Anolis sagrei: one gene and its partner. The protein of the gene in region 1 purifies or fractionates together with the protein of each later gene. This does not show direct contact. Links are inferred from orthologs where the notes say so. Each region holds a gene or a part of one and is shown on either strand. Other genes may lie near its edges. The genes, in order: CLUAP1 and IFT46.

What was found.
Region 2: the proteins of CLUAP1 (region 1) and IFT46 purify together in Homo sapiens (affinity purification with mass spectrometry; 3 studies listed by BioGRID and IntAct, with this or other methods). This does not show direct contact. The link is inferred for Anolis sagrei from reciprocal best matches to the Homo sapiens genes CLUAP1 and IFT46.

What each region holds. Positions count from the first base shown.
Region 1 is NC_090034.1:26,670,548-26,686,609, reverse strand, and holds the start of CLUAP1 (clusterin-associated protein 1), read left to right. Parts: upstream 1-10,183; 5' UTR 10,184-10,305; coding exon 10,306-10,327; intron 10,328-14,696; coding exon 14,697-14,808; intron 14,809-16,062. UniProt on the Homo sapiens protein: Required for cilia biogenesis. Appears to function within the multiple intraflagellar transport complex B (IFT-B). Key regulator of hedgehog signaling.
Region 2 is NC_090027.1:43,553,739-43,570,089, reverse strand, and holds the start of IFT46 (intraflagellar transport protein 46 homolog), read left to right. Parts: upstream 1-8,253; 5' UTR 8,254-8,312; coding exon 8,313-8,460; intron 8,461-11,297; coding exon 11,298-11,389; intron 11,390-12,490; coding exon 12,491-12,615; intron 12,616-13,107; coding exon 13,108-13,182; intron 13,183-13,272; coding exon 13,273-13,366; intron 13,367-14,216; coding exon 14,217-14,345; intron 14,346-14,485; coding exon 14,486-14,604; intron 14,605-14,694; coding exon 14,695-14,761; intron 14,762-16,012; coding exon 16,013-16,073; intron 16,074-16,351. Other genes in the region: ARCN1 (coatomer subunit delta), read right to left, coding at 1,387-1,592, 1,721-1,900, 3,534-3,797, 8,001-8,003. UniProt on the Homo sapiens protein: Forms part of a complex involved in intraflagellar transport (IFT), the bi-directional movement of particles required for the assembly, maintenance and functioning of primary cilia. May play a role in chondrocyte maturation and skeletogenesis.

The DNA of each region.
Region 1 (16,062 bases):
TTTCAAGTGGTGTAAGTTGCATTGGTTTCCCACACAGCCATGGTTAGCCAACTGTGGTGCCAACAGCAAGGACGAAGAGGAGCAAGAGTGAATCACACTCCATCTACATTGCCATATAATCCTGTTTCTAAATACAGATTGACTGCATTGAACTGGATTATGTGGCAATGCAGATTCATATTATCTAGTTCACAGCAATTAATGTGTATTTCTGAAACTGGATTACTTAGCAGTGTTGTTGGAAATAGCAACCTTCTTCAAGCCTCCACTACTTATTTATTCTGTATATAATTCAGGTTGCTAACTGTATTGTATATGTATGTATTGGTATGTAGTTTTCCTTCTCTGTGTTGTGGGAGGGGCTGAAGACTATGTGATCTGCATGGAGGAATGGGCCAACATACCAGCAACAGTGTGTGCCAACCTTGTGAGGACTTACAGAAAACGTTTGACCTCTATCATTTCCAATCAAGGATATATAACAAAGTATTGAGATGAACTTTTGTTATGAACCAAATACTTATTTTCCACCATAATTTGCAAATAAATTTGTTAAAATTTGTTAAAAACCAAATTTTCTGGATGTGTTTTCTCATGTTGTCTCTCATAGTTGAGGTCTACCTATGATGTCAATTGCAGGCTTCTCTCATCTTTTTAAGTGAGAGAACTTGTACAATTGGCATCTGACTAAATACCCCCCCCCCCACACACTGTATGTTACTTTTAAATAAATCTACTTATTTTGGTCTCTTGAGAGCATGATTTAAAGGCAAATATATTTTAAGGGAGAAGATGTTTTTGGGCAAATAAAAGAACACTTCTGAAACTATGCTATATATGTTTTTGTGCACTGACATCTCTTTGTCCCTAACAGTTCAAAGAGATATCTAGGTATGTTAGTTTGATGGTTGAGAAACCTAATTGCCTTCCATTAATACTAGTGGATATCAACCACTAAGGAGAAGGTTGACTCAAGCGAGTTTTTAGCTCTTCTCAGGGATATTCCTGATTTTCCCAAAATGGTGGTGAATGCTATTTTTGAAAAGGTTATGAAGATTTCCATTTCCCAAAAGTTATGGTTTCTAACAAGGTCATGCCTTTCCAAAGATCATAATTCTCAAAAAAAGTGTAGATCTCAGCAGAATAAAGCTTCAAATGCAGCTGATTATTATTATTATTATCCAACAAGGAGACTTTTTATGAATATGTAAATTGAAAATAAAAACATGTTCCTGTGAAAAAACAATTCATAGTTGAAAACCATGAAAACATAACCAAAGCTAATCTTAGCTTTGGACAGAGCAAGGGCACATAGATGTCCCCATTTGGCAGCGACAGTCTCAACAAATCTTTGTCATCCCACTTTTCCAACTGCTTTTAAGTGTCCCAGTTTCTCCCAGCTCCTTCCACTTCCCTCCTTTGTCCTCAGCTTATTTCAGTTGCTGCAAATTGAGTTCAAAGTGAAAAAAAAATATGGTAACTCAGAAGGAAAGAAGAAGAAGCAGTGGAAACATGCTCTTCACCATTGCCTCATAGAATCATAGAGTTGGAAGAGACCTCATGGGCCATCCAGTCCAACCCCCTGCCAAGAAGCAGGAATATTGCATTCAAAGCAGCCCTGACAGATGGCCATCTAGCCTCTGCTTAGTCTCAGGCAAGAGCAAATTGCTGCAGCCTCTCCTCACTTGTCTGTCCTGTCCATTCATAACATTTCTCATCTTGGCCCCACTCTGGTGTTGCTTGGCCAATTGTGTCCTTTACCTTTGTCATGTATTATGTTCTGCAGTTGATGGTGGTTGGTGAAGGAAGGGTGAATGTAAGTATTAATTCTAAAGGGTTTAGTAATCTGTAAGTAAGAGTTCATGGGTGAAAGCAATTAAGGGTGGAGGTATGCAAGAGATAGGTTGCAGCTGGGTGTTTCTGGGTATAAGGAGCGAGCCTTGGAATGAATCTTTGGGAGAAAAGTATTTGTCTTATTTTGGTGGCAGATGCTGCTGGTTTTACCTCAGATTTGTTGGGTTTTCAGTATCCTGACCAGTCTCCTATAATCTTGGAACCCTGGAAACTTGAACCTGTGGACTGGCTTTTGACTACGGTATAGACTCTTGATCCCTGGGCTTTGTTTATTGAACTCTCAGCGTTTGACCACTGGACTGGACCCTTTGACCACGGTGTAGCATTTGCTTTCAGTTTTTGTTTATTCTGTGGCTGAGTGCTATCTTTATGTTTTATGTTTTAGACTATTGAAACAGCCAGAAAGTAAATGCTGTTTTAATTTAAAAAAAATAACACAAACTGGGTGTTTCCTTGATTCACCTCTGCCGCAAATAACGGCAGAGCCCTGGCAATGTGACAAGCTTTCACCTATGAAGTGTTGGAGGGCACAAGAACACTCAAAAGTTCATTGTAAAGTTTGTTTCATTTGTTCAGTTCGTCATCCACTTTGCATTCTGTGGCATATCCCAGGCGTGCTCTCCAGGAGAAATGACATGCCTGTTCCTCTTTTTGTACCTTCTTTGTGCATTGGGTTGTAAAATAGGGAACAATCGGATATTGAGATTAGGATATTCAACAATTTGCACCTTTGACTGTGAGGCAGGAATGAGCATTTCAGTGCCACTGGCAGTGCTTTGTGTTTCAACCACATTATTATCCAAAGTCTTTGCAAATCCTATCTCCTAGTGGTATACATAACATGTTGAGGATCACATGCAGACGTGTCTTTCATGGATTGGTTTTGATCTGTTTCTTTGTGCCTTTTGCACAAACTCCATTCATCCAGAGAACAACTCCATTCCAAGTTACCTTCCCGACTCATCTCCCCGCATTGCCTTCTTTCATTGAAAAAAAAAAAACCCAGCCCTTTAATGTAATGCCAGAAATGAATACTGACGCTGCAGGAAAGAACAGAGAATATTTCAAAGGAGCAATCGTTCAAAAGTGTGGGGGGAGGGGGGGGGGGACAGAAGCCGAATTATTAATGCAAATGGATAGGATCCAGTGAGTTCTGGGAGAAGAAATGCACAAAAAAATATGAGTCAGTGCATGACGTAAAACCGCAATAACACTATGTAACAAAATTTAAAAAATGTTCTGTTTCTGTTGGAAAGTGTAATGTCCTGTTTAATTGTGTGGTCCTTACTTTGAAAGTAGTTGCTATTCTCCAGAAACCTAATTTTTATGCCACAAACCTGGTTGATTTGGTTGCGACTCTATAATGAGATCTTCACTGAAAAACTAGAACAAAAAATGCTACGGGATGTCCCTTGCACAAAAGCAAAGTTTGTGCAGTTTAATCAACTTTCCCCATGTTTTATGATATAACCAACTAGGAAATCACATTTATAACCCAGGAACAAAAATTGTGTTACAAGTGTAATTGGGCAACAGAAAGGCAAGCTGGATAAAACCATGGAGGTCTATGCCAAAATTTCTAAATTTTAAATTTTGGGAATGTAGCTCACCTGGAATAGGAAAGATTAGTGTCTGTCTGCTTTCCTACAAAGTATAGTTCACCTTTTTCTTGACATCAGGGAGGAGCAACAATAGAGAATAATAAAGGAAGGGTTGACTTTTGGATTTGTACGCCACATATTAGGACTGGACACAACCAGAAAAGCCACCTTGAGTCCCCACAGGGAGAAAGGTGTGGTATAAATTACTATTATTATTACTGATGTTGTTATTATTTATTCAGGAAGGCCATAAAATGACCCCATATTCACTACCCCTTATGGTTCCCAAGGCTAGCGAGAGGGTTAGGTTGCTGTCAAGTCAAGTTCACTTTATTATGGTTCAGTGACCAGTTCAAGAAAAGCGTTCAAGGATATCAGAGTTAAGGGTTAAGAGATTTCAAACTTTAAAATAAGCATACCATTGTTAGGACATTAAGAAAATCAACTTAAGAATCTGAGCGAAAAGCCATATATAGGAGTTGTGCAACTGCCTTGGCTTCAAATGGTGTGAGTATCGCTGTCCTGACCTGAGATATTTTAGTACAGAAGACGAGCTCTTTTGTGCAATCCACATAGATTGCTGTCAAAATTCAAGATTTACGTATGAGAGCTGATATTGCCATTTATGCTGCTTGCCCTTCGGAGAGAAGGCAGGCAAGATTTGCAGAACTCCTGCAAAGTCCAGAAACAGTAGACTGGTAATGATCCCATAGAGGAGGAGGTTATTCCAAGTCTCCTGCATAATTCAGAAAGCTTGAGAGTGTGAGAGACCCCAAGCAATACATTTTTCATCACAAGAAGTGTGATAACATTTCGGAAAGATAGTCGGGCCGAGCGGGCTGGATTTTGTCCTTTATGGGGCCATAGACCCCAATCTTACTCCTGCATCCATCTATCTATCCATTATTGAATTTTCAAGTGATGCTTAAAATATACATTCAAAAAAAAAAAAAAAAGGAGGAAGAGGGGAGCAAAAAGATAAAGAGGTGGGAAAGCATGTAGCATATGACTGAAGGTAAGCTATCATAAAACATACATACATATGTTCTTTAAGCTGTTATGAATCAAAATATTCATGTGTAGCTAAAATACTTAAATCTTTTAAATGATAGATTGTGTAATAATAATAGTAGTAGTAATAATAATAATAATAATTCTTTCCTGCCTGTCCTCATGGCTCGAGGGGGGTTATAGAATAATTAAAACACATACACATTATAAAAATTCCATAAATACACATATTAAAATGTATTTTACAAAAGATACATATGAAAATGTATTTCTATAAAATATATGTTAAAATACACAAAACAGTGAATAAACAAAGGACACAAGTTTAAAATTTGTGTTTAAAAACTGGCTGGGTATGAAAGACATTCTCTAGGTTTAAGAATATAAGCAGTTCGTGCATTTTCAAAATGCCCATGTATTTGTTGTTGTTGTTGTTGTCATTATTTTCTTTTTTTATATTCTGCCTCTCTCCCAAGGGGGCTCAATGTGGCTATTATTATCTGGGAACTTATCCCCGCCAAGTATAGCAGTTGTGCTGCATTTATAACCGTATCAAACAGTTGTAATTTAACTTTATTACAACTCTTTGATGCTGTTATAAATGTAGTACAAGAATTCATACGATTCTTAATTTGCAAGTAAAGCAAGAATCCAATTTAGTTTGTACTATGTTGTATCCCAAGTTGTTGTTGTTGTTGTTGTTGTGGAAGGCATATCCATATAGACTGCACACCAAGCATATCTTGCTCAACAGTAAGTACAATTGTTAAGTATAAAGCCAAATGTCAAACGAAATTAAAAACAAGAACGCAAAATTAATAATACGATTAAATGAGAGAGTTAGTTAGCAAGTATCATAGAAGTTAGGTTCTTGTGGGGTTTTTCGGGCTATAGAGCCATGTTCTAGAGGCATTTCTCCTGACGTTTCGCCTGCATCTATGGCAAGCATCATAGAAGTTATTGTTAGTAAATACTGTTAAGCAAATATCACAGATTTCAGTTATTTCAACCTATGTCTCTATAGAAGTGTATTTTAAAGTGCTTCAAAAATAATTGATAGTGGCTATGCAAAAAAAAAAAGTTTTCAATGTATTATAGATGAAGCTGGGCTATATTGGAAGAAAAGGCCAGCTAGAACTTTGATTGCAAACGAAGAGAAATTTACAGCCGGATTCAAACCTATGAAGGATAGCATCATCTTATTTATAATTCAGAGAATCCTGGGGCTCTTGGAAACTTTAAAGCCTATCCTTCCAATTTGTTGCAAAAGGAATGCAAAAGCTTTGATCCATAGCAGCTGAATGATTTATTTATTTATTTTTATCATCATCATCATCATGTACATAACAACACAGCACACATGCGCGCTAGGTCCAAGTGTGTGTTCTTTGTCTCTGAATACTGGGCTTTTCTTAAGCGCCTGGGATATTAGAGGTACTATTACATTATTATTATTATTATTATTATTATTATTATTATTATTAACATGTACATCATAACACAGCACACATGCACATTTGGTCCAAGTGTCTGGGATTTGCCTCTGAATACTGGGCTCTTCCCAAGGTCCTATGATATTAGAAACATTATTATAATGATGAGGAGATATTAGAAATATAGATATTTATTGATTTATGCATAAAATCATATGTACTTTATAAGCACTGAAATGCATAGAAAAATCTAGTTCCCTCTGTGTATAGAAAGAATGCTAACGGACAAGCAAACTGCTTGTCTTCAGAAGGGGCTGAAGAGGGAGGGGTGACATTCCAGAGAAGAGAGATAAGCCTGTCCGAGAAGCCCATACTAAGGAGCAACGGGCTGGTACTAAGGAGCACCTCTTGACAGGTCAGAGAGGGCCCCTTTGATGGATGAGTGTAAGATGCTTGCTCTGCAGCAAGACATGCCTTTTTGCATGTGGAAGTTAGAACCTGATATTCTTATGATGCTCAGATGACGTAGGGATGATGATGATTGTATGTTGTAGCATGTTCTTTGTTTGCTTGAACCTGGAAAACTATAAAAGCCACAGTCCACACCTATTTCAGTTGCTCTGGTGTTTTTTGGGAGTTGACTCCACACCAGGCCCCAGCTGGTAAATAAAATCCATGCTTTCAAACCTCCGGACCTCTCTTTGTCTCTTTTCCTCAAAACCTATTCCTTGCCATTTCAATAATATAATATATTATTATATATTATATTAATTATTATATATATTTATTATTGCATTGTATATTATTATATTATATATTATTAAATTTATATGTACATAGCAACACAGCACACAAGTGAAATTGAGCAATTTAAGACAACCGCAGATAGTAAGATCAGGGCCTTGGATAGCAAAACCTGAAGGGTGGATACCGAGATCCAATAAGCGAATGCTGGTATTGGCAGCAGGCCACCCGTGGATCTGTGTGCCTGGTGAGACATAGAAGCTACCCAGTGTTCCCAAATAAATCTCACCAAGTTGAAGAAGCCGCCACCGAGGTAATTTATTAAAATCAGATGAAGTGATGCCAGCTTGCGGTAATCCACCTAGGCTCTGTCGACGTCATGAACAGCTGAAGGAGGATTCCCTGCAGAGGCGGGTTTGTAGCCAATAGGATTTTGTTCCCTGCTTCATATATATATATATTGTCGTGTCAGGAGTGACTTGAGAAACTACAAGTCGCTTCTGGTGTGAGAGAACTGGCTGTCTGCAAGGACGTTGCCCAGGGGATGCCTGGATGTTTTGATCCTTTATCATCCTAGTGGGAGGCTTCTCTTGTGTCCCCACATGAGGAGTTGGAGCTGATAGAGGGAGCTCATCCGCACTCTCCCCAGATTTGAACCTATGACCTGTCGGTCTTCAGTCCTGCTGGCACAGGGGTTTAACCCACTGTGCCACCGGGGGCTCCATTTATTTAGATAATTTCTATCCCGTCCTTCTCATCTCCAAGGAGAGATTCAGGCTGCTAACAGGCACCCTTCGGTGCCAAACAATACACAACATAAAATACATTTAATCGCCAATAAAAACAGTTATAAATACATAAAAAACATGTTGCCATTTCATATCATCCTCCGAATAATCCACAGCCATTCGTTCAATAGTCAATTAAAATCATCTTCAGTCCATTGCCATCCGCAAAACCAGTCCATTAAAACCCTCTATCTAGGGAATGCTTGATCCCATAACCAGGTTTTTTAGCTTTTTCCGGAAGGCCATGAGGGAGGGGGCAGATCTAATCTCATTCGGGAGGGAGTTCCACAGCCAAGGAGCCACCACTGAGAAGGCCCTGTCTCTCGTTCCCACCAACCGTGATTGAGATGGTGGTGGGACTGAGAGCATGGTCTCTCCAGACGATCTTAAGGTCCTTGGGGGTTCGTAGAGAGAGATACATTTGGACAGGTAAGCTGGACCAGAGCCGTTTAGGGTTTTATAGGTCAAGGCCAGCACTGTGAATTGTGCTCAGAATCTAATAGGCAGCCAGTGGAGCTGGCTTAACAGGGGAGTTGTACATTCCCTGTACCCTGCTCCTGTGAGCAGCCTGCCTGCCGAGCATTGGACTAGCTTAAGCTTCCGAGTAGTCTTCAGATTCCCGCTCTCCAATGGCTGATGGGGGGCAGGGTTGTCTGGGAGACAAAGGAAGTGTGAAGAGGTCTTAATGGGACAAACAAAGGGGGTCATCAGGTCCCATGTGTTTTATTATAAAGATAATTGTGATATGAGTCCCCAGCGAATAAGTCCAGCACCTTTGGCCCTGCTGTCCATTGAGTCAAAAGCATAGATATTGTCCATGTTGACAGGATTAAGCAGTTTGTTCCTGGGAAAGGGGAAATGTTATTGTTATTGTATATGCTGGTCTTGGCCTATAAAACCCTATACGACTCCGGCCCAGCTTACTTGTCCGAACGTATCTCCTTCGACGTTCCACCTTGTAGTTCAAGATCAACCGGCGAAGCCCTGCTCTTGGTCCCACCAGCTTCACAAATGCGTCTGGTGGGGACGAGGGACAGGGCCTTCTCAGTAGTGACCCCCCACTTGTGGAATTCACTCCCCAGCAAAACCAGTTTGGCTTCTTCCCTCCTTTCCTTTAGGAAAAAACTGAAATCATGGTTTTGGAACCAGGCCTTTGTCCAGCAGGCATGATAGCACTTTGGACATCGAACTGGACTATATGACTGTGATAATAATGGAAATGACTATATGACTGTGATAATAATATTTAATTGTTTTTAATCTATTGTTCTATTTATTGTTTTATATTGCTGTAATTTGTTATATTTGCGGCATCAAATTGTTGCCAGTGTAAGCCGCTCTGAGTCCCCAGGGGTTGAGAAGAGCCGGGTAGAAATGTTGCAAATAAATAAATAAATAAATAAATAAATTGTTGGACAGTGGAGCATGACCTCCCTGTGTACAGATAGTCATGCCAGGTGATGGGTGGCATTGTACTGTCCCAGTGACTGAGGCAAAGGACGGGTGGCCCTGCAAATGCCAAGAAGCAGGAATATTGCATTCAAATCACCCCTGACAGATGGCCATCCAGCCTCTGTTTAAAAGCTTCCAAAGAAGGAGCCTCCACCACACTCCGGGGCAGAGAGTTCCACTGCTGAATGGCTCTCAGAGTCAGGAAGTTTTTCCTCATGTTCAGATGGAATCTCCTCTCTTGTAGTTTGAAGCCATTGTTCCGCGTTCTAGTCTCCAGGGAAGCAGAAAACAAGCTTGCTCCCTCCTCCCTGTGGCTTCCTCTCACATATTTATACATGGCTATCATATCCCCTCTCAGCCTTCTCTTCTTCAGGCTAAACATGCCCAGCTCCTTAAGCCGCTGCTCATAGGGCTTCTTCTCCAGACCCTTTATCATTTTAGTTGCTCTCCTCTGGACACATTCCAGCTTGTCAATATCTCTCTTGAATTGTGGTGCCCAGAATTGGACACAATATTCCAGGTGTGGTCTAACCAAAGCAGAATAGAGGGGTAGCATTACTTCCCTAGATCTAGACACTATGCTCCTATTGATGCGGGCCAAAATCCCATTGGCTTTTTTTGCCGCCACATCACATTGTTGGCTCATGTTTAACTTCCTGTCCACGAGGACTCCAAGATCTTTTTCACACGTACTGCTCTCGAGCCAGGCATTGTCCCCCATTCTGTATCTTTGCATTTCGTTTTTCCTGCCAAAATGGAGTATCTTGCATTTGTCACTGTTGAACTTCATTTTGTGAGTTTTGGCCCATCTCTAATCTGTCAAGATCCCTTTGAATCCTGCTCCTGTCCTCCGGAGTATTGGCTCTCCCTCCCAATTTGGTGTCGTCTGCAAACTTGATGATCCTGCCTTCTAGCCCTTCATCTAAGTCATTAATAAAGATGTTGAACAGGACCGGGCCCAGGATGGAACCCTGCTTATGGCACTCCGCTTGTCACTTCTTTCCAGGATGAAGAGGAAGCATTGGGGAGAATCACCCTCTGGGTTCGTCCATTTAACCAATTACAGATTACAATATACAGATAATATATTATTATCACTGTATTATATATCCATTATTATCATTATATTTAAATGTACATAACAACCCATTTTAAACACTGGCCTTTTTATCCCTTTTAACACCAGGCAGGCCTTTCCTTTCCAGTCTTGGGTTTGTCCAGCCTGTGTTAAAAATGTCCTTGCTTTCAGGCCCTGGCATTGCAAAGCACCGCTTTCCGCCGAAGTTTGAGCCCGGCGCCTCGCCGTTGCGACGTTGCCATAGCGACGCGGCCTAGTCCTGGAAAGCGACGCGGGGAAGCCTGGCCGAGGGAGAGAGAGAAACGAACAGACACAGAGACCCAGTTGGCGCCCTTACAGGGACCATGTCTTTCCGCGACCTCCGCAGTGAGTCCCATGGCATCATCATCATCGTTGTTATTATTATTATTGTTATTGTTATTATTGTTATTATTCCTCGCTGGAGGGTATAAAAAGGAAATCTAGAGGCCCCGAGGCCTGAGAATGGGGAAGGAGGCCCGCCCCGGATCTGCTTCACTGCCTGTTTTATCTAACTTGTCTCTTTCCCCGCATTTTCGAATCCTCTATCTAGATAGATAGATAGATAGATAGATTATCTTCTATATAAATAAAAATGTAATGTTCGTTTGTGGGATTAACAGAACTCAAAAACCACTGACACCAATTTTGGACACAAGACACCTAACAACACAATGTATGTCCTTCACTAAAAAAATTGATTTTGTCATTTGGGAGTTTTAGTTGCTGGGATTTATAGTTCACCTACAATCACAGAGCCTTCTGAACCCCACTAACGATGGAATTGAACCAAACTTGGCACACAATTCTCCCATGACCAACAGAAAATACTGGTGGGCAGTGTCCTTTGGTTTTGGAGTTGTAGTTCACCTACATCCAGAGAGCACTGTGGACTCAAACAATGATGGATCTGGAACAAACTACACAAATACTCAATATGTCCAAATGTGAACACTGGTGGAGTTTGGGGAAGATAGACATTGACATTTGGGAGTTGTAGTTCCTGGGATTTATAGTTCACCTACAATCACAGAGCATTCTGAACCCAACCAATGATAGAATTGGGCCAAACCTCCCACACAGAACCCCCATGTGGGCCACAGCAACGCGTGGCAGGGGACGGCTAGTATATATATATATATATAGAGAGAGAGAGAGAGAGAGAAATATATATATGTGTGTGTGTGTGTGTGTGTAATCTATCTATATAAATATCTATGTAGGTATAGGTAATCTATCGATATCTATGTAATCTGTCTATGTAATCTATCTATCTATATGTAATCTATATATAGTTTATCTATGTAATCTATCTATGTAATCGATCTTTGTAGGAGGTAGATTACATAGATAGATAGATGATAGAGGTAAATAGATAGATTACACATTTATTTATTTTGCATATTTGTATCCTGCCCTTCTTGCCCCTGGAGGGGGACGCAGGTTGGCTTCACAACCAATGCTAACAACAGTTATAAATGATAAAAGTAACTAAAACAATTAGTTAATGCTTTAAAATTACTAAAACATTGTTTAAATTACACAGGTTTGAAATCATAGTCCAGGTCAGTCCATTGTCATTCACACAAATTGGGCCTCATTCTAAATTGCTTCCTCTACTGTTTGAACGCTTGGTCCCATAACCAGGTTTTGAGTTTCATTTTAAACTACAAGAGGGAGGGGGGCAATCTAATGTCACTGGGTAGAGAATTCCACAGGTGAGGGGCCACCATTGAGATATACCACAGATAGATTACATATATATAAATAGTTAGATCTATGTAATCTATCTTTGTGTGGAGCCCCCAGTGGCACAATGGGTTAAATCCTTGTGTCGGCAGGACTGCTGACCGACAGGTTGGCAGTTCGAATCTGGGGAATGGGGTGAGCTCCCATCTCAGTTCCAGCTCCCCATGTTTAGACATGAGAGATGCCTCCCACAAGGATGATAAAGCATCAAAACATCCGAGAGTCCCCTAGGCAATGTCCTTGCCAACGGCCAATTCCCTCACACTAGAAGCAACTTGCAGTTTCTCAAGTTGCCCCTGACATGAAAAAAAAATCTATCATAGTAATCTGTCTCTATCCATCCATCCATCAATCTATCTATCTATCTATCTATCTATGTAATGTATCTATTTATCTATATCTATCTATGTCCATGGTTCTCAACCTGTGGGTCCCCAGATGTTTTGGCCTTCAACTCCCAGAAATCCTAACAGCTGGTAAACTGGCTGGGATTTTTGGGAGTTGTAGGTCAAAACACCTGGGGATCCACAGGTTGAGAACCACTGACTATGTAATCTATCTGTCTGTCTGTCTGTCTGTCTAATCTATATAACCATAGAATTGGAAGAGACTTTGTGGGCTATCTAGTCCAGTACATGGATGTATAGATATCTGTCTGTCTGTCCATCTGTCTTTGTCAATGGTTCCCAACCAGTGGTCCACAAGAACTAAAATATGATCCGCAAAACATTTAAAATTTTAAACCTTTATTCATTTTAATGAATTTGTTGCTAGGTGGGCAACGTCAGCGAGTAGGACATCAGGCCAGTCAGGAGTCTGGGGTGGAGGGCAAGTGATCGTTCAGTCAGTCGTACACATTCTTTTGTCTTGCTCGACTATGTCAGTGATTCTGTTTTGCTGTTTAGTGATTCAACGGCTCCAGTAGTTTTACTGACTGTGAACCCTCAATATTCATATTAATTTTTTACTTATTTAATGGTGACTGAAATGGAGAGGCTTAAGAAGAAATCAAGGAAGAGCTCATTGAATTTCAAAATGATAGAAACTGCAAGGACGTGTTTGAATCTGATTCTCTTGAGGAGTTTTGGTGCAAAAAAGTGATTTTTTTATTCTAAAATTCAAGGAATTGCCTTGCACTATCTTATGCTCTTCTCCACAACTTTATGCAAACAAGGGTTTTCTGCTTTGCTGGTAATTAAAAACAAGTCCAGGAATCGATTGAAAGTAAATAATGATGTGGTTGTAGTTTTGAGCAATAATATTAGCCCCAGGAGTACCCTATTTGTAAGGAAGGTGCAAGCTCAAAAATCACATTGATGCAAACTAAATTTAATTTTCTATTTAAAATGTTCTTTTTTAAAATATTGTAATAGTACTCTTATTTCATGTTACTATTAAGTTTAATGAATATGTTAAAAGTTTTGATTAAAATTTATTTTTAGATTACACAGTTTTATTTATTATTCTTGAACCCTTTGGTCCCTGCTAACAACAAAGTGGTCCCTGATAATAAAAAAAAAAGGTCGGGAACCACTGATCTATGTGATCTATCTATGTAATCCAGTGGTTCTCAACCTTTTTTTGACCAGGGACCACTTTGAACAGGGGACAACTCTCTACGATTAGTACCAAAAGGGTTATGTATCAGTTTTTGGTCAACTTTAGATTTGGTTTGGTTATTTGAGATGTTGAATCAGAAAATTGCAGCTCTAGTCCCTGATACAGAACATATGCCATTCAGTAGTCGCCTTTTTGTTGTTGTTGCTGTTTTGTGTCTAATTATGTTGTATTATTTTTGGGCTTGGCCTCATGTTAACCGCCCTGAGTCCCCTTTGGGGACATGGTGGTGGGTTATAAATAAAGATGATGATGATGATGATGATGATGATGATGATGATTATCATCATCATCTGCTTACCCACAGAAAACCATATTTAATAATCTAGCACTGATGTGGTAGTAGTAATCTTCATGGATAGTCAGCCTCTCCCCTCTTGATATTCCCCTTGCCTTGCCTAAGAGGGTTTCAGCAACAGCTCTTTTTGCTGTGTGGTTTCAAGGCAACGTTGTAGTAATGGTGAGGCTGCAGACCATATTTTCATTCTTGTGGACCACTTGTGATTCATGGACCACAGTTTGAGAACCACTGATGTAATCTATTTATCTATCGATCTATCTATCCTAATCTAATCTAATCTAATCTATTTCATCTATTCATCTATGTAATCTGCCTACCTATGTAATCTGTCTGTTTTATCTAATCTCTCTTTTCCCACAGTTTGAAATTCTATATTTGTCTATCTAATCTATCTATCCATCTTTTTCTGCATTTTGGAATTCAACATTTATTTAATCTATATAGCCTATCTATGTAATCTATCTATATTATATTATATTATACTATATTATATTATACTATATTATCTATGCAATCTATTTTATCTATCTGTCTATTCTATCTATCTATCTTATTTATCTTTCCATGTGCACAAATTTTCTTTCATTCACAAAATTATTACAAATATTGTGTATAAAATTACATTAAAGTTATGTATATGATGTGCATATGAAACATAAACATAGACCTGGTTTTCATCTCAAGATGTCTTATTGTGTGCTTGCAAGTATTTGAAAAAAATCCAAAAAATAAATTAAAATGGAATACCTCTGGTTCCAAGCCTTTCAAATAAGGGATACTAAATCTGTGTTGTACTTAACAAACATTGCATCCATCTTTAATAGCAATGTGGAACTCATTGCACTTTTATGTACATATTTCTCTTTTTCGTTTTCTCTTTTTGGCCTCCTTTTTCTTCTGTTTCTGCTGAAAAGTTTAAAGAAGTAATGAGGTGCTGATGCTTCTATAACCCTCTGATTAAATCCTAGTTAACTCACCTTACCAAGACTTGTGTGCGTGAGATTGAGTATGATTCCTGCATGAACTTAAATAATATCTTTGTTTCTAAAGATTTCACTGAGATGATGAGGGCGCTGGGTTATCCCCGGCTTATCTCAATGGAGAATTTTCGCACGCCAAACTTCATGCTGGTTTCAGAGATACTTCTTTGGCTGGTGAAAAGGTTGGTAATTAACTTTCAATTGAATATCAGAGGAAATGTGACAGTGATTTCTGTTAAATACCTCCGTCTGTGAAAAAGTGCTTTTCTTCAATATGAACTTTAGATTTGTAGTCTCTTAAAAGACCTCCAGGATCAAAATGTAATTCTAATAGGTTCAAATTTTAAAATGATCACGAAGTCTCAGCATACTGAGATTTTATAACTTTTAGCTCTTCGCAAGATTTTAAATCAAACATATTCTTCAGATTAAAATTGCTTTCTAATATGGCCTTATATTTAAAATTAGACATCAGAGTAATTTTATGGCAGTACTCTGTAACACATTTCTTTTGAAAATGATGATAAACTACTTATCTGGTAAAGAGGAATTAATTTGTTATTAGTATGAAGAATTAAAGCGCACATTTTTCAATTTTGCTTTGAAAGTCAGACTTTTTATTATATGAAAGGCAAGCATAGGTTACTGGGATTTGGTTTCCACCAGAAAGTATCGTAAAACATAGTGATTTTTTTTCTCCATCCAAGTAGTTTACTTTTTTGAGCAGTTAGTTGTGTTAGAATTTCTCAGGACTGAATCTAATCTAGGTAAATATAAAATAGATAAACCTTCATCCTGGTGTGCTTCAATAATAAAGACTGGTGACAACATATGTAAGCTTGACCCAAGTTTTGCCTTCCATAATAACCTGAAATGGCTTGCCTTGTTGTGTGTGCTGCCAAGTCCAGTCATATTCATATAAGCTGGGTTGCATTGAATTGAACTTTGTGAACTGATCTTTCAAGATGAAAGATGCTGCTAGAATGCCCACATTTTAATAAAAAATAATAGCATCTTATGACAAGCTTTAAAAACTTTAAAGGCATCAGATCCCATTTCCAGTTTGATTGTTTACTTCCTGGCCATATTTATAGAAGCTTACAGCCATTGGTTGATGAATGTTGTTTTTAATTGGGTATTAGTTGATGTTTTAAATGTCCATATGTTGTATTTAATTGTATTTTTAAAATTGTTTTCATTTTATGTTCTGTTTTTAGGCACCTTGTGCCACGTGTAAGCCAACTCAAGTCCCTCCCGGGAGATGGTGGCAGGATACAATAATAAAATTGTTGTTGTTGTTGTTGTTGTTGTTGTTGTTATTTATTATCTTGGAAGTTAAGCAGGGTCAGTTGTACGTGCTACTTGGATGGGAGACTGCCAAGTTTTTGTGAGTTTGCTAGAAGGGGATCCCTTTAATGTTTTTTCTTGCCAATCTG
Region 2 (16,351 bases), on another chromosome or scaffold:
TATGTCACACCAAACGAGATCTATATGCTGGATTTCGTATCACAAAATCACAAGTTGAACACTTCCCAAGCGTCTCAGACTGTGTGATGTATACATTATTATTGTTGTTGTTGTTATTATTATTATTATATTTTATAGAAAGGCACCATTTACTATGTCATTGTGTGCAATAGGATTATTATTATTATTATTATTATTATTATTATTATTATATTTTATATAAAGCACACCATTTACTATGTCATTGTGTGCAATGGGACTATTATTATTATTGACACAAAAGCACAGTATGTCACACCAAACGAGATCTATATGCTGGATTTCGTATCACAAAATCACAAGTTGAACACTTCCCAAGCATCTCGGACTGTGTGATGTATACATTATTATTATTATTATTATTATTATTATTATTATTATTTATAGAAAGGCATCATTTACTATGCCATTGTGTGCAATAGGATTATTATTATTATTATTGTTATTATTATTATTATTGTTATATTTTATATAAAGCACACCATTTACTATGTCATTGTGTGCAATGGGATTATTATTATTGACACAAAAGCACAGTATGTCACAGCAAACGAGATCTATATGCTGGATTTCGTATCACAAAATCACAAGTTGAACACTTCCCAAGCATCTGGGACTGTGTGATGTATATTATTATTATTATTTACTTTATTTGTATACCATCCCTCTCAGCCTTGCGGAGACTCGAGGCGGTTTACAAGGCAAAATTCAATGCCACAGAATCCAAATACAATTTAAAACATTAACATCAATAAAATCATAGCAACAGCAGTAAAAACATAAATCGGTAAATCCTCAATAAAAACATTGTCCAATTTCATCGTAGAGTTGTTCCGTTTTCCTATGTCCATTACTCAATGTTTGCAAATGCTTGCTTGACCAGCCATGTCTCGAGTTTTTTTCGAAATGTTAGGAGCGAAGAAGCCGATCTAATCTCTTTGGGGAGGGCGTTCCATAGGCAAGGGGCCACCGCTGAGAAGGCCCTGTCTCTCGTCCCCGCCAAACATACTTGTGACGGAGGCAGGACCGAGAGCAGGGCCTCCCCAGATGATCTTAACGTCCTTGATGGTTTGTAAGGGGAGATACGTTCGGACAGGTAAGTTGGGCCAGAACTGTTTAGGGCTTTATAGGCCAAAGCCAGCACTTTGAATTGGGCTCGGTAGCAAACCGGTAGCCAGTGGAGCTGGCGCAACAGAGAAGTTGTGTGCTCCCTTAGAGCCACTCCTGTTAGCAACCTGTTGTTAATTTAAGCTTCGGGACTATCTTCAAAGGCAACCCCACCTAGACGCCCTGTTCAGCTCCCTCCAAAACCACTTTGCTTGTAGTAGGAATCTGGCACTTTCATACCTGGATGGGATCGGAGTCACTTTGGGCTTCTCGGTCTCAATGATGGTCTCTGTGATCATGGCGGCCGTGGTCCCTCCTGAGACGGCAGAGCTGCCAAACCCCCCGAATCCTGGTGCTTTGGTGCCTCGGCGCTCAGCGTCCCGGCGCGCCTGCTGCAGCTCCTTGGCTTTCCGCCGCATTTCGGCCTTGGCTTCACGCTCCTGTGTCTGAACATCAGAAAGAGACACTTAGTTGATTCCCAACATGCCCAGAACAAAGCAGTTCACCCATGCCAAACTTGATGTCAGGAAAGAAAATCAAAGGGGAGACACAGCGGAGGAAGCCTTGGGCTTACCTCCCGGACGGCTCTGAAGACCTTCTCCTCGTGGGAGTCCATCTCGGTAAAAGTGCGGATCTGGGCCAGGTTGACGTTCTCTCGGTAGCCGAGGGCCACGATCTCATCAAAGGCAAATATTAGGTCAAAGCAATGCTCCGAGATCTCGTTCTCTTCTAGCGCTCGGCAGTATTCTGGGATCTGAGTGGAAGCAGAGAAAAATCAAAACCCAGCTCTTTGAGCAAGCTTTTGCAAATGCAGCGTAATCGGTGATATGGAACTACAGAACGACTGGAAACTGAGTTTAGGAAGGAGACACTGATGATGTATCTTTTTTATTGGTTTTTGTATAGTTTTATATTATAAGCTAAATGCTTTTAAACTGTATTTTATGTTTAGTGGGGCATCAAATTGCTGCCAACTGTAAGCCACCTTGCGTAGCCTTCGGGCTGAGAAAGGCGGGATATATTTATTTTTATTATTTATTTACAACATTTGTATACCGCTTTTCGAACCCCGAAGGGGACTCAAAGCGGTTTCCACATAGGTAATGGCAAAATTCAATGCCAGCACAAACAATTACAATTATACAATTACAGTTAGACATAAATCAAATTAAAATACATCCATAAACAGTAGAATAATCATTAAAACAGTAAAACAGTCTCATCCGTCGAATTGCCATTCCAGTCATTGTCTTTCCGAAATGTTGCATAGATTTGTTTCTACTGCCCAAAGGCCTGGTCCCAAATCCATGTTTTAAAATACTGTAAATAAAATAAATAATACTATATAAAGAGACAGAGCATTCCTCCTTTTTAGGAACCTGTGTTCTAGAGAAACAATATTTATTTATTTATTTATGGCATTTCTATGTCGCCCTTCTCACCCCGAAGGGGACTCAGAGTGGCTTACAATATATAGTTTCATACAATATATTATTAGCATAGTACAATATCAGTATTATATATTACTATATTGCACTATACCATTATATTGCAATATTATTAGTAATATTACATGTATTATATTACTCGAGTAATATAATACATACATATAAATATATATGTATATATATTACTCGAGTATAAGCCAAAGGTGGGAAATGCAGATGCTACTGTTAAATTTCAAAATAAAAATAGATGCCAATAAAATTATATTAATTTAGGCATCAGTAGGTTAAACGTTTTTGAATATTTACATAAAACTGTAATTCAAGATAAGACTGTCCAACTCTGATTAAACCATTATTGTAACCTTCTTCAATGTAAATACGCTTACATATCCTTCCAATAATAATAAATAGAGTAAAATAATAACAATAATAATAATAATAGTGTAGAGTAGTAAATGTAATAACAGTAAAGTAAAATAATAAATGTAACAATAACAATAATAGAGTAAAATAATAAATGTAAAAATAACAACAATAATAAAATAATAAATGTAATAATAACAACAAAGTAAAATCATAAATAACCTTGACTCGAGTATAAGCCAGGGGAGATCTTTTCAGCATAAAAAAAGACTGAAAACCTAGGCTTATACTTGAGTATATACAGTAAGCAGCCACCATTTTCCTTTCCCTTCTATATCTCTCACTACAGCAATCAACATCATGTATGAATCCACAACAGAGTTTCCTCCCCATTAAACACAGGTGGAATGGCTGCCTTCTCCGCATCGCTTCCCTGCCAAGTCCCATAAACCCAGCAGATGCCAGCAAGGACTTCCTCTGGAGCAGAACGGTTTCAAGACCAGCCCCAGGGACATTGCTTCCTCCCTGCCATGTGAATGAGCCTGGGCCCGCCCCTCACGTCCCCACAACTCTCACCACTCGGGAGAAGAGCCGCAGCGTCTCCAGGTCCTCCAAGATGTTGCTGTTCTTGGTGGTGATGAGCACCATGTAGAGCTTCTCCATGGGCTGGTAGACGTAGCGCACACTCTCCGTCTCCACGAAGGTGTGCTGCTTCCCGGTGTTCATGAGTTTGGGGAAGGCCGCCAGCAGCCCCTCGATGCGCGTCCGGGTCATCTCCACAAACTGGCGTGAGACGATGGCCTTCCCGGCCTTGGTGCAGACGGCGGCGGCCAAGAGCACCTGCGGGAGGGAAGAGGAAGGAGAGGCTCCCATCACAGAATCATGGCATAATAATGAGAGTTGGAAGGGATCTCAAAGAGGGTCCTCCTTCTGCCAGGAAGGAAAAGCACAATCAAAGCATCCCCAACAGATGACCACCCTCTGCTTAAAAGCCTCCAAAGAAAGAAGAAACTTCCACCAGACTCCAAGGCGGAGAGTTCCACTATTGAATTTATTATTTATTTATGACATTTATATGTAGCCCTTCTCAGAGTAGCTTATAAGTAGTATGTAAATACAATATATTATATTGGGTTGTTGTAGTTTTTTCGGGTTATATGGCCATGGTCTAGAGGCATTCTCTCCTGACGTTTCGCTTGCATCTATGGCAAGCATCCTCAGAGGTAGTGAGGTCACCTCACTATCTCTGAGGATGCTTGCCATAGATGCAGGCGAAACGTCAGGAGAGAATGCCTCTAGACCATGGCCATATAGCCCGAAAAAACTACAACAACACAGTGATTCCAGCCATGAAAGCCTTTGACAATACATTAATATATTATATTCTTACCATAGCACAATATTAGTAGTATATATTACTATATCATACTATATGATTACACTGTAATATTATTAATAATATTACATGTAATATAAAATATTATTATATAATATATAAACTATATAATAATGAGCCCCCGGTGGTGCAGTGTGTTAAAGCACTGAGCTTGTTGACCGAAAGGTTGCACGTTCAATTCCAGGGAGCTGAGTGAACTTCCGCTGTCAGCCCTAGCTTCTGCCAACCTAGCAGTTCGAAAACATGCAAATGTGAGTAGATCAATGGGTACTGCTCCGGCGGGAAGGTAAGGGCGCTCCATGCAGTCATGCCGGCCCCATGACCTTGGAGGTGTCTATGGACAACACCGGCTCTTCGGCTTAGAAATAGAAATGAGCACCACACCCCAGAGTCAGACATGACTGGACTTAATGTCAGGGGGCAACCTTTACCTACTATATGATTATGCTGTAATATTATTAGTAATATTACATGTGATATAAAATATATAATTATACTATTGTATTATTATTAGTAGTATTATATTGTTTCACATTACAATATTATCAAACAGCTCTTCTTCTTAGTCAGGAAGTTCAGGTGAAATCTCCTTTCCTATCCTTTGAACCCATGGCTCCATTAAGTCCTAGTTTTTATTGGCAGCAGAAAACAAGACCTGCTTCATCTTTTTTATGGCCTCCTTTCCAATATTTATACGTGGCTAAGTCCCACCCTACTCCTTTCACAGAGGCCCCTCCCAAACAGCTGAATAAAACCCCACATTTTCTGCTTTGAACTGGAATGTATGGCAGTGTGGACTCATGGAACCCAGTTCAAAGCAGATATTGTGGGATTTTCTGCCTTGATATTTTGAGTGGAAGGCCCCAGAGTCACACGGTGTCTTTCAAAATACAGTTTCTGCCCAGAGGGGCCATGCAAGCAGGAACCAGTGGGAAATCGCCACCACTTACTCAACTAACATTACTCACAAAAGGACAAACACACAACACATGTAAACAGATCGTTTTGTTTAAAACCTAAGGGCGACACAAAAATCTATCCTCCTTTCTTCCAAATAAAAAACTATTGGCTGTTGAAAGCATCTAAATATCAATCAGGAAATTTGGTGGCAACAAGTATTAAGGATTTCAACATTAGAACAAAATTACGTTAGGATTTTAAATGGCTGCAGTTCTATATCTGTGTGTATTTATGTACATATGTATGCGGTGTATGTGTGTGTGTGTGTGTATATATATATATATATAAAATTTCATGCAAAAAATGTTAGCACTTAATAAAGTATAGTATATACAGAGAAACATGAAACTTGCATTCACACTATAATGGATATACCTGTTTCTTTCTATAAAGATGAATATACTCCTCTTTGGAAGAGGCTGTAATGTTCACAGATGAATAATGTTCTTTCTTGTTAAGGATTTAAACAGAGGCTGGATGGCCATCTGTCAGGGGTGATTTGAATGCAATATTCCTGCTTCTTGACTGGATGGCCCATGAGGTCTCAGGTTTATGTGAAGAGGAGTACATTCATCTGCTAAAAGAGCTAGATAGTGGAATTTCCTTTACAAGAAGAACAGAAGATGACCTCGTGGGCCATCCAGTCCTACCCCCTTCTGCCAAGAAGCAGGAAAATCACATTCAAAGGACACCTTGCAGATGGTCATCCAGCCTCTGTTTAAAATAACCCAGAATATCAAGGTAAATAATCCGCAGTATCTGCTTTGAACTAGATTATCTGAATCCACACTGCCATGTAATCCAGTTCAATGTGGATGTTATACAGCTGTGTGGAAGGGGCCAATATCTGTGACTTAGAACACAAATACAATAACATTACACAAGAGAAAAAAACATAAGATAAAAATATATTTAAAACACTGGATTAAATACAATAAAAACATTATTATTCATCATATAGCCAAGTCCAAATCTGATTTAGCAACTGACGACTCAGTCCAAAGCCTGTCATTGTCAGAGTTCAAGCACTGTAAATACTGCCAAACCAACTGTCCAAAGGCCTGGTCCCAAAACCATGTTTTGAGCTTCTTTCTAAAAGAGATAAACCAGTTCAAAGAAGAAGCCTTGATAATCTGGGTTATATGGCTGTGTGGAAGGGTTCAGAGTCCACATGGCCATAGGCGCTTCCGCACAGCTCTATATCACAAAATACCAAAGCAGAAAATCCCACATTATCTGACCGTGGACTCAGATAATTATTATTATTATTATTAAACTTTATTTGTACCCCGCTAGCATCTCCCAAAGGACTCGATGCGGCTTATAAAGGCCAAGGCCTCAATACACAACATAACAGTACACTTAAAGCAAATTAAAACAATTAAAGCAGTATTAAAACTACCGTGGTCAGTCATCATACTAAAATCGAATATACGCCGTCTTCCATCCAGATCATTGTCTCATTCTTTGAAAGCCTGTCCCCATAACCACGACTTCACCTGTTTCCTGAATGTCAGGATTGTTGGGGCGGTTCTAACCTCTGGCGGGAGAGAGTTCCAGAGTCGTGGGGCCACTACCGAGAAGGCCCTGTCCCTCGTCCCCACCAGCTGCGCTTGTGAGGCTGGCGGGACCGAGAGCAGGGCCCCTCCAGACGATCTTAGTAATCTTGATGGATACCAGGCAGGAAATCACACAATATCTGCTTTGGCCTGGGTTGTATGGCAGTGTGGACTCAGGGCCTTTCCACACAGCCATATAATGTGGGATTTCCTGCCTAATATCCTGGCTTATATGGCTGTGTGGAAGGGCCCCGAGTCCACACTGCCATATAACCCAGGCCAAAGCAGATATACCAGGATATCAGGGAGGAAATCCCACAGCCAATAGTGTTCTGTTAGAAATGTAATATAATTGACTGGTTGCCCCTGACACAACAAATAAATGCTTTGGCCTGGGTTATATGGCAGTGTGGACTCAGGGCCCTTCCACACAGCCATATAAACCAGGATGTCAGGCAGGAAATCCCACAATACCTCCTTTGGCCTGGGTTGTATGGCAGTGTGGACTCAGGGCCCTTCCGCACAGACATATAAACCAGGATACCAGGCTGAAATCCCACAATATCTGCTTTGGCCTGGGTTATATGGCAGTATGGACACAGGACCCTTCCACACAGCCATATAAACCAGGATATCAGGCAGGAAATCCCACAATATCTGCTCTGGCCTGGGTTATATGGCAGTGTGGACTCAGGGCCCTTCCACAAAGCAGTTCAATGTGGATTTTATAGAGCTGTATGGAAGGGGCCTCAGGGTTAAAGCCAGACCTTTGAATTTAGCCTGGAAGTTCCCATTTTGGGGAGCATGGGAGCTGTAATCCAAACACTGGTGCAGAATGGAACCCCAACTTCCCAATGACAGTTACTCAAGAGCTGCAGAGAAGCAACGCTCACTGGAATGGAGAAAATAGCAGCAACACAACTGTCTCCAAAAGCCTACAACTCCCAGAAGCCTCCTCCGCCTTGCCCAAGGGTCAGGGATTCTGGGAAATGGAGTCCAAAGCCTTGGAAGGCCCATTTCCTCACAGTGACTCCCCTAAAAGGCTTGAACGCCGGCCTAGGCCGAAGAGAAGCCTGGGGAAGAGTTAGGCGAGGCTCCCGGAGGCCTTGGCAGGCCGCCCCGGCTCACCATGGCGTCGGCGTCTCCCTCGTCGCCTTCCCTTCGAGCAACCGCTTCGTCCTCCTCACACAGAAGATGGCGGCCCCGAGCCACGTCGACCCAGGCGGAAGTGGCGTCACCGCGCAGTTAGACAGCGGAGGCCACGCCCCTTCCTCTTAGCGTCACTTCCTTGGCAACGGAGCCACTTCCGGGGAGACTTTTTTTTGTGTTTTGAAGGCAGGCGTCAAAAGCCCCGCCCCTTCCGCTCAGCACAGCTCTGGTGTCACTTCCTTGGCAACGGAGCCACTTCCGGGGAAGTTGTTTTTGAAGGCAGGCGTTGCTATGGCGGCGTCTGGGCCTAGTCAAGCTTCAGGGCCGGAGCCTGGGTTGCAGACGCGGTTGGTGGAGAACCAGCCTTACGATGAGAGCCTGGAAGTGCACGAGGCGGAGGATGTGGCCAGTATCTACGCTCCCAGCCCACCGCAGCCAGGTCTCACCGCAGTCAGGCTTGGGTCTACCCTCCAAGGGGTTTGGACTCCAACTCCCACCATTCCTAACAGCCTCAGGCCCTTTCCTTTTCACCCCCAGCCGCTTAAGAAGGGGCCTGAGGCTGTTAGGAATGGTGGGAGTTGGAGTCCAAACCCCTTGGAGGCTGGGGGAGAAAGGCCTGAGGCTGTCTCTCATTTATCATCAATTTCTGGGTTTGAGGCTGCCACTTTTGGACTCTCGCTTGCTGAGGTGTTCCGGCGAGTGTCTCTGTAGATCTTAGAAAACTATTTCTAGATTTGGACGCTTAAGCGGCTGGGGGTGAAAAGGAAGGGGCCTGAGGCTGTTAGGAATGGTGGGAGTTGGAGTCCAAACCCCTTGGAGGCTGGGGGAGAAAGGCCTGAGGCTGTCTCTCATTTATCATCAATTTCTGGGTTTGAGGCTGCCACTTTTGGACTCTCGCTTGCTGAGGTGTTCCGGCGAGTGTCTCTGTAGATCTTAGAAAACTATTTCTAGATTTAAGTCATTGACGTGCTGGCTGATACCCAAACAAGGGATGAGCTGGAGATATCTCTGCCTTGGTCCTTTCACTATTGGCTGCTACTTCCCGGTGGATGTCAGGTGGTGCAATACTGGCTAAGCAGTGTAATTTCTCCAGTAGTGTTGGGCTGGGTTTGAGCCTGCCACTTTTGGACTCTCGCTTGCTGGGGTGCTCCGGCGAGTGTCTATGTAGATCTTAGAAAACGATTTCTAGATTTAAGTCGTTGACGTGCTGGCTGATACCCAAACAAGGGATGAGCTGGAGATATCTCTGCCTTGGTCCTTTCACTATTGGCTGCTACTTCCCGGTGGATGTCAGGTGGTGCAATACCGGCTAAGCCTGCATCACAAGCACAGCTGGCGGGGACGAGGGACAGGGCCTTCTCTGTGGTGGCCTCTCGGCTGTGGAACGCCCTTCCCATGGACATTAGATCAGCCCCTTCGTTAATGGTGTTTCGAAGGAAACTAAAAACCTGGCTGTTTGAACAGGCGTTCGGATAAACAGTGCAATGTACACGATGAATATAGGAAACAGAATTATGGATGACGAATTGGATCACGATTTTAGTTACGAGACGTTAATGTGTTGTTATTAATGTGTCATTATTCTGTATATTATGCTGTTAATGGTTTTTAAATTTTGTATGTTGTTGGATTGACTTTTGCTCTTGTTGTGAACCGCGTTGAGTCGCCTACGGGCTGAGAAACTGCGGTATACAAGCAAAGTAAATAAATAAATAAATAAGCAGTGTGATTTCTCCAGTGGTGTAGGGCGCAGGCACCCTGTGATAATGCGGCATGTCTCATTCAGAGCCACATCTACTGTTTAAGCGTGGTGAGATGTGTTCCACACTGGGCGTGCGTACTCAGCAGCAGAGTAGCACAGCGCAAGGGCAGATGTCTTCACTGTGTCTGGTTGTGATCCCCAGGTTGTGCCAGTCAGCTTTCCAAGGAAGCAGAAAACAAGCTTGCTCCCTCCACATGTATAAATATGTGAGACGAAGCCACAGGGAGGAGGAGGGAGCAAGCTTTCCTTTCTGCTTCCTTGGAGACTAGGACGCGGAACAATGGCTTCAAACTACAAGAGAGGAGATTCCATCTGAACATGTGGAAGAACTTCCTGACTGTGAGAGCCGTTCAGCAGTGGAACTCTCTGCTCCGGAGTGTGGTGGAGGCTCCTTCTTTGGAAGCTTTTAAACAGAGGCTGGATGGCCATCTGTCAGGGGTGATTTGAATGCAATATTCCTGCTTCTTGGCAGGTGGTTGGACTGGATGGCCCAGGAGGTCTCTTCCAACTCTTTGATTCTTTGATTGTATGATATTGTTTCTAGCGCCCACTTTTTGCTTGATGTTCAGGCCGTGCTTCTTGTAGGTCAGAGCACGGTCCAGAGTGACTCCCAGGTATTTGGGTGCGCTGCAATGCTCCCATGAGATTCCTTCCTTCCCAGGTAGTCATCCTCAGAGCTCGGGATGCTTGTCTGTTCTTAAGGTGAAAGGCACATGTCTGTGTTTTAGATGGATTAGGGATCAGCTGGTTTTCCCTGTAATAGGCAGTAAGAGCACCTAGAGCTTCGGAGAGCTTCTGTTCTACCATTTCAAAGCTCCCTGCTTGAGTGGTGATGGCACGATCATCAGCATAGATGAAGCTCTCTGTCCCTTCTGGCAGTGGCTGGTCATTTGTGTAGATGTTGAACATGGATGGACCAAGCACGCTCCCCTGAAGCGGGCAGCTCTTCTGTTTCCGCCATCTGCTTCTCTGGCCCTGGAACTCAACAAAAAAGTTCCTGTTTTGTAGCAGGTTTCCTATGAGGCGGGTGAGGTGGTCATCCTTTGTGATACTAGACATTTTTCTCAGGAGGAGGCGGTGGTTGACAGTATCATAAGCCACTGACAGATCTATGAAGAGGGACATAAGAGAAGCCTCCTCGCAGGATTGCAAGACATCTGGGTGTCCCCTGGGCAACCTCTTCAGAGACGGCTGATTCTCTCACTCCAGAAGTGACCAGAAGCTATTTGCAGTATGCAAACTGAGGCTGTTAGGAATGGTGGGAGTTGGAGTCCAAAACATTTGGAGGCTAGTGGAGAAAAGGAAATGGCCTGAGGCTTTTAGGAATGGTGGGAGTTGGAGTCCAAAACATCTGGAGGCTGGGGGAGAAAAGGAAAAGGCCTGAGGCTGTTAGGAATAGTGGGAGTCAGAGTCCAAAACACCTGGAGGGGTGGCCTGAGTTGGCCCAGGTTGGTCCTAAAGGTTTCAAGGCCTTCCCCTTCCTCAGCCTCACTTGGGGCCCTTTCTGTTTCTAGGCCCACGCCCTGCTCGCCCCCCACACAAGGGCCTGGCCCCGGACAGCAGCGACGACGACGATGAGGAGGAGGTCCACAACGTGGCAGGCAAGGTCCGTCCTGGATGGCCATCTGTGTTGCAGCTTGGTCATCTCCTGGGTGCTCAAAGATGAGGGAAGGGGATGCTGGGGTAGGTTCAGACGGTGGGAAAGTTCCTCGCAGTGGCAGCAAGACTGAGAAAGAGCCTAGACTCTGACCAGGATACTACCTGACACTGTGTAGTATGTAACTGGATGGTCAATTTGTAATAATTTGATTCGGATGGCCCAGAGGAGGATAGAAGTGGCAGTTCCCACGAGGCTGGAGAAAGCAATACCAGTTCTCATGAGACCCTGCAAGAAGTGTAGGCTGAGAGAAATGTGGGAGATGAAGGTTTGTCTACATCAAGGAGCTTGGAATTTCAGAGACAGGGCATGCAACAAAGACACACTCACTTTCCCCAGAGAATTAGAGATAAGGAGGGGGAGAGCAGGTGCATGATAAATGATGTCATGGGAGGGATGGAGACCTTTTAAAGTTGTTCCTGCCGGTACAATCCTTTGTGAGAGCAAGGTTTTAATCAGGTGAACAGCTCTTGTTTACATTTTTGGTCCTATTTATTTATTTACAGTATTTGTATACCGTTTTTCTCACCCTGAAGGGGACTCCTATGTTCCTGGAATTCATGTTTGTTCTTGCTCCTAGTTCCTGTGTGGCATGGGTTGCCTGCTTTGGATTCATGTTATCTTGTTTATGGATTTCTCTGTGGATTGACTCTGTAAACTCTATTTGAGGGAATTTTGGGGACCTTCCACACAACCCTATAACCTAGAATATCAAGACAGAAAATCCCACAATATCTGCTTTGAACTGAGTTATCTGAGTCCACAGTGCCATATATTCAATTCAAAGCAGATATTGTGGGATTTTCTGCCCAGAGAGTCTTGGCTATCTTGGAAATAACCTTTTTGACTTTGATTCTCTATTTTGAATTTTATTCTCTTATTTTTTTTATATATATACTCTTTTTTAATAAACTGCTACTTGTTGGATTACCTGGGCAGAGTGTGGTTTGTGGTGAAAACGTGTTTCAAGGCTTGTAATTCAACAATCTGTTGGGAAGGTTTCACCCCAGAGCCTCCCTCCTCTTCTTCCCTCTTTATTCCTCCCCGCAGGAGAAGAAGGGCCCCCAGCGCCGCTTCAGCGGGAACGAGGTGGAGGACGAAGATGAGGACGACTCCGAGACTGACTCCGAGGATGAGGATGACGAAGACGAGGAGCACGGGGCGCCTCTGGAGGGGTACCATCCGCACGAAGGGCCCCCCCAAGGACAGCCAATCTAACTCCCTTATCTCTGCCAAGCAGGACGACATCCCAGAGTAACAAGACACCCCTAAGGCCACCCAGTCCAACCCCCTTCTCTCTACCAGGAAGGAAGGCACAATACAAGTCCTGACAGTTGGCCATCCAGCCTGTTGCAGAATCGTAAAGTTGGAAGGGCCCACAAAGGCCATCCTTGGCAAGCATCCTGACAGACAGCCATCAGGCCCTCTATCTCAGGATGTGATCCCAAGTTTTTGGTTTATCCCAGATTATCTTACAGTGCATACTCTATAATCTAATTTAAAGCCCTATATCCCAGGATCTGTCTGGAAATGTTTTTTTTCTGTGAAGAGAGCAATAGATTTGTGCAGGAGGTGGCTTTTGCTTGGCTCTTCTTCATCCCCCCCCCCCCCCCCCCCAATATCCAGGGGCTTCATGGCCCTTGTATCATGGCTACCTCTTTCCTCAGGGCTTACAACTCCGCAGACTACGACTACCTACCTGTCTCCCTGGAGGTCAAGGAGCTTTTCCAGTACATTCGGAGGTGAGCAGGAGCACAGGCAGGGGAGGATTGTGCTTGTTAGGGTCCCCTCCTTACTGGGCCCCCTCCTCACTGGGCCCTCTCCCTCCCCAGGTATTCCGCACAGATGATTGACCTGGAGCACAAGCTAAAGCCATTCATTCCTGACTTCATCCCTGCTGTCGGAGACATCGATGCCTTCTTAAAAGTACAGTGTCCCTTTCATTACTTCTGTCGGGGACATTGACACATACAGTGACCTTCAACCTGGGGCTTCCTTTCACCAAATCTTCTCACACCAGGACTTCTCACACTGAAGACCTTTCTAACACAGAGGCCTTTCTCACACTGAGGGCTCTCTCAGACAGACACCTCTCTCACACTGAGGCAAACTAACACTGAGGCCTTCTCATACTAAGGCCTTTCTAACACAGAGGCCTACCTCACACTGAGGCCTTTCTCCCACTGATGCCTTCTCACACTGAGGGCTGTCTAACACAGACCACTCTCTCACACTGAGGCAAACTTAACACTGAGGCCTTCTCATACTGAGGCCTTTCTCCCACTGATGCCTTCTCACACTGAGGGCTCTCTAAGACAGACACCTCTCTCACACTGAGGGCTGTCTAACACAGAACACTCTCTCACACTGAGGCCTTTCTAACACAGAGGCCTACCTCACACTGAGGCCTTTCTCCCACTGATGCCTTCTCACACTGAGGGCTCCCTAAGACAGACACCTCTCTCACACTGAGGCAAACTAACACCGAGGCCTTCTCACACTGAGGCCTACTAACACATTGAGGTCCATCTTCCACACAGATCTCTCACAGACTGAGGTCTCTCTTAAACTGAGGCCTATCATACTGAGGCCTCTCTCAGACTAAGGTTTGCTGACACTGAGGGCTACTAAGCTACAGGCACACCTGCTTACATTGAAGTGCAGCTTTGGCGGAGTGATTGCCTCCATTTAACCCTTTCAGTGCTTGACTCACATTTTTGTAATTAAGAACACCTAGTTACTTTTTAATATTTCTGCCTTGGGCTGCTGCTTTCAGGTCCCCCGCCCGGACGGGAAGCCAGACAACCTGGGCCTGCTGGTGCTGGATGAGCCCTCCACGAAGCAGTCCGACCCCACGGTGCTCTCCCTCTGGCTGACGGAGAACTCCAAGCAGCACAACGTGGCTGTAAGCCGGGCAAAGAGGGAGGGAGGGAGGGAGGGATGGAGGGGGCTGTTTGGGGGTGGCCCCACACAGCAGGGGAAGCAGGCAGGCAGGCTTCGGATTGCATCACAGCAGATATAGGGACCAGTGCCTGTTTCTAGCAGCAGGTCAAAGTGAAGAGCCTTGAGAACGCGGAGAAGAACCCCAAGGCCATCGACAACTGGATTGAGAGCATCAGTGAGCTCCACCGCTGCAAGCCCCCTGCCACTGTCCACTACACCAGGTGGGCAAGGGGGGGACGGATGAGGGGTGCAGCCCCCCACCTGGACCTGGAGCTTGGGACTCAGTCGCCGTGCTTCTTTCTCCCTTCCAGGCCCATGCCGGACATTGAGACGCTGATGCAGGAGTGGCCCCCTGAGTTTGAAGAGTTGCTGGGAAAGGTACGGCCACACATCCTTCCAGCTGACCCTGACTCCTCGGGAGGTGCATTTGCACATAACTTAAGCCATATATGTGCTGGTCTGAGTCCCTTTGCGGAGGTAGAGAAGATTGGGATATAAAAGCTTTAAATAAATAAATAATAATTAATAACCTCAAGGCCTGCGGGCCGAATCTAGCCCTCCACGTCGTTAGCCCTTTGGATCATCAGAAATTTCTGGGCCGTTTTCAAGGGCAGCCCCACATAGAGTGCATTGCAGTAATCCAGTCTAGAGGTGACTAAGGCGTGGACCACTTTGGCCAGATCCGCCTTCCCGAGGTACGGTCGCAGTTGGCGCACGAGTCTTAATTGTGCAAAGGCTCATATGCTTAGATACAAGGCTTGTGAATATGATGCCTGACTTTCAAATGCCTGTTAATCTTTCTCCAACCTCAGAGCCACAAGGGCTGTTGGGTTGCAATTTTTGTGTGTGCCAGGAGCGACTTCAGAAACTGCAAGTCGCTTCTGGTGTGAGAGAATTGGCCATCTGCGAGGACGTTGCCCAGGGGACGCCCGGATGTTTTACCATCCCACCCATTGTCATCCTTACTGTGATTGTGTTAATTGGAATATTTATTTTATGATTTTTTTTCTCTTTTAATGTCATTTTGATAATGTTGTTGTCTGTTATATATGTTTTGATTTTACCGCTTTGAGTCGCCCGAGGGCTGAGAAAAGTGGTATATAAATAAAGTAAATAAATAACAAATAAATTTATTTTCGCTGTAATATGTTGTCTGGGCTTGGCCCCATGTAAGCCGCTCCGAGTCCCCATCGGGGACATTGTGGCGGGGTAGAAATAAAGTTTATTATTATTTATTATTATCCTGTAGGAGGCTTGGGAGGCATGGGAAGCTGGTGCTGACAGATGGGAGCTCACCCAACTCCCCAGATTCGAACCTCCTACCTTTTGGTCAGCAGTCCTACTGGCACAAGTGGCCACTGAGGGCTCCGGCAATCCCTATTATCAAAAGTGATGGGAGTTGTCATTCAGTAATGTCTGGGGCAAATAACATTGGGTAAAACTAAAGAGCACCATGTAAACAAAATGAGAGTTGGCCGTTTCTCTGTCTCTGTCAATTCTCTGCCCATGGATACAGTGGTCCTTTGAGGGCAACCACGAGACTGAAGGGGCCCTCCATGGAAATGGGTTTGTCAGCCCTGACCTCAGAGGATCTGGTGAGTCCCTGAGTCTCTGTTTTCTGCCCTTCAGGTGAGCCTTCCCACGGCAGACATTGATGCCAGCCTCGCTGAATACACGGACATGGTTTGCGGTGAGTACTAAAGCCCAGCCTTTCTCACCAACCTGGCCAAGCAGCAGGCAGAGTTCCCCTGTTTGCCAGTAGCCAATCTGCCTTTGGTGGCACAGCGGGTTAAAATCCGAATCTGCAGAATTTGCTGACCAAAAGGTCGGCAGTTCGAATCCGGGGAGCAGTATGAGCTCCCACTGTTAGCCCCAGCTTCTCCCAACCTAGCAGTTCGAAAACATCTAAGTGTGAGTAGATACTGCCTTGGCGGGAAGGGAACCGTGCTCCGTGCAGTCATGCTGGCC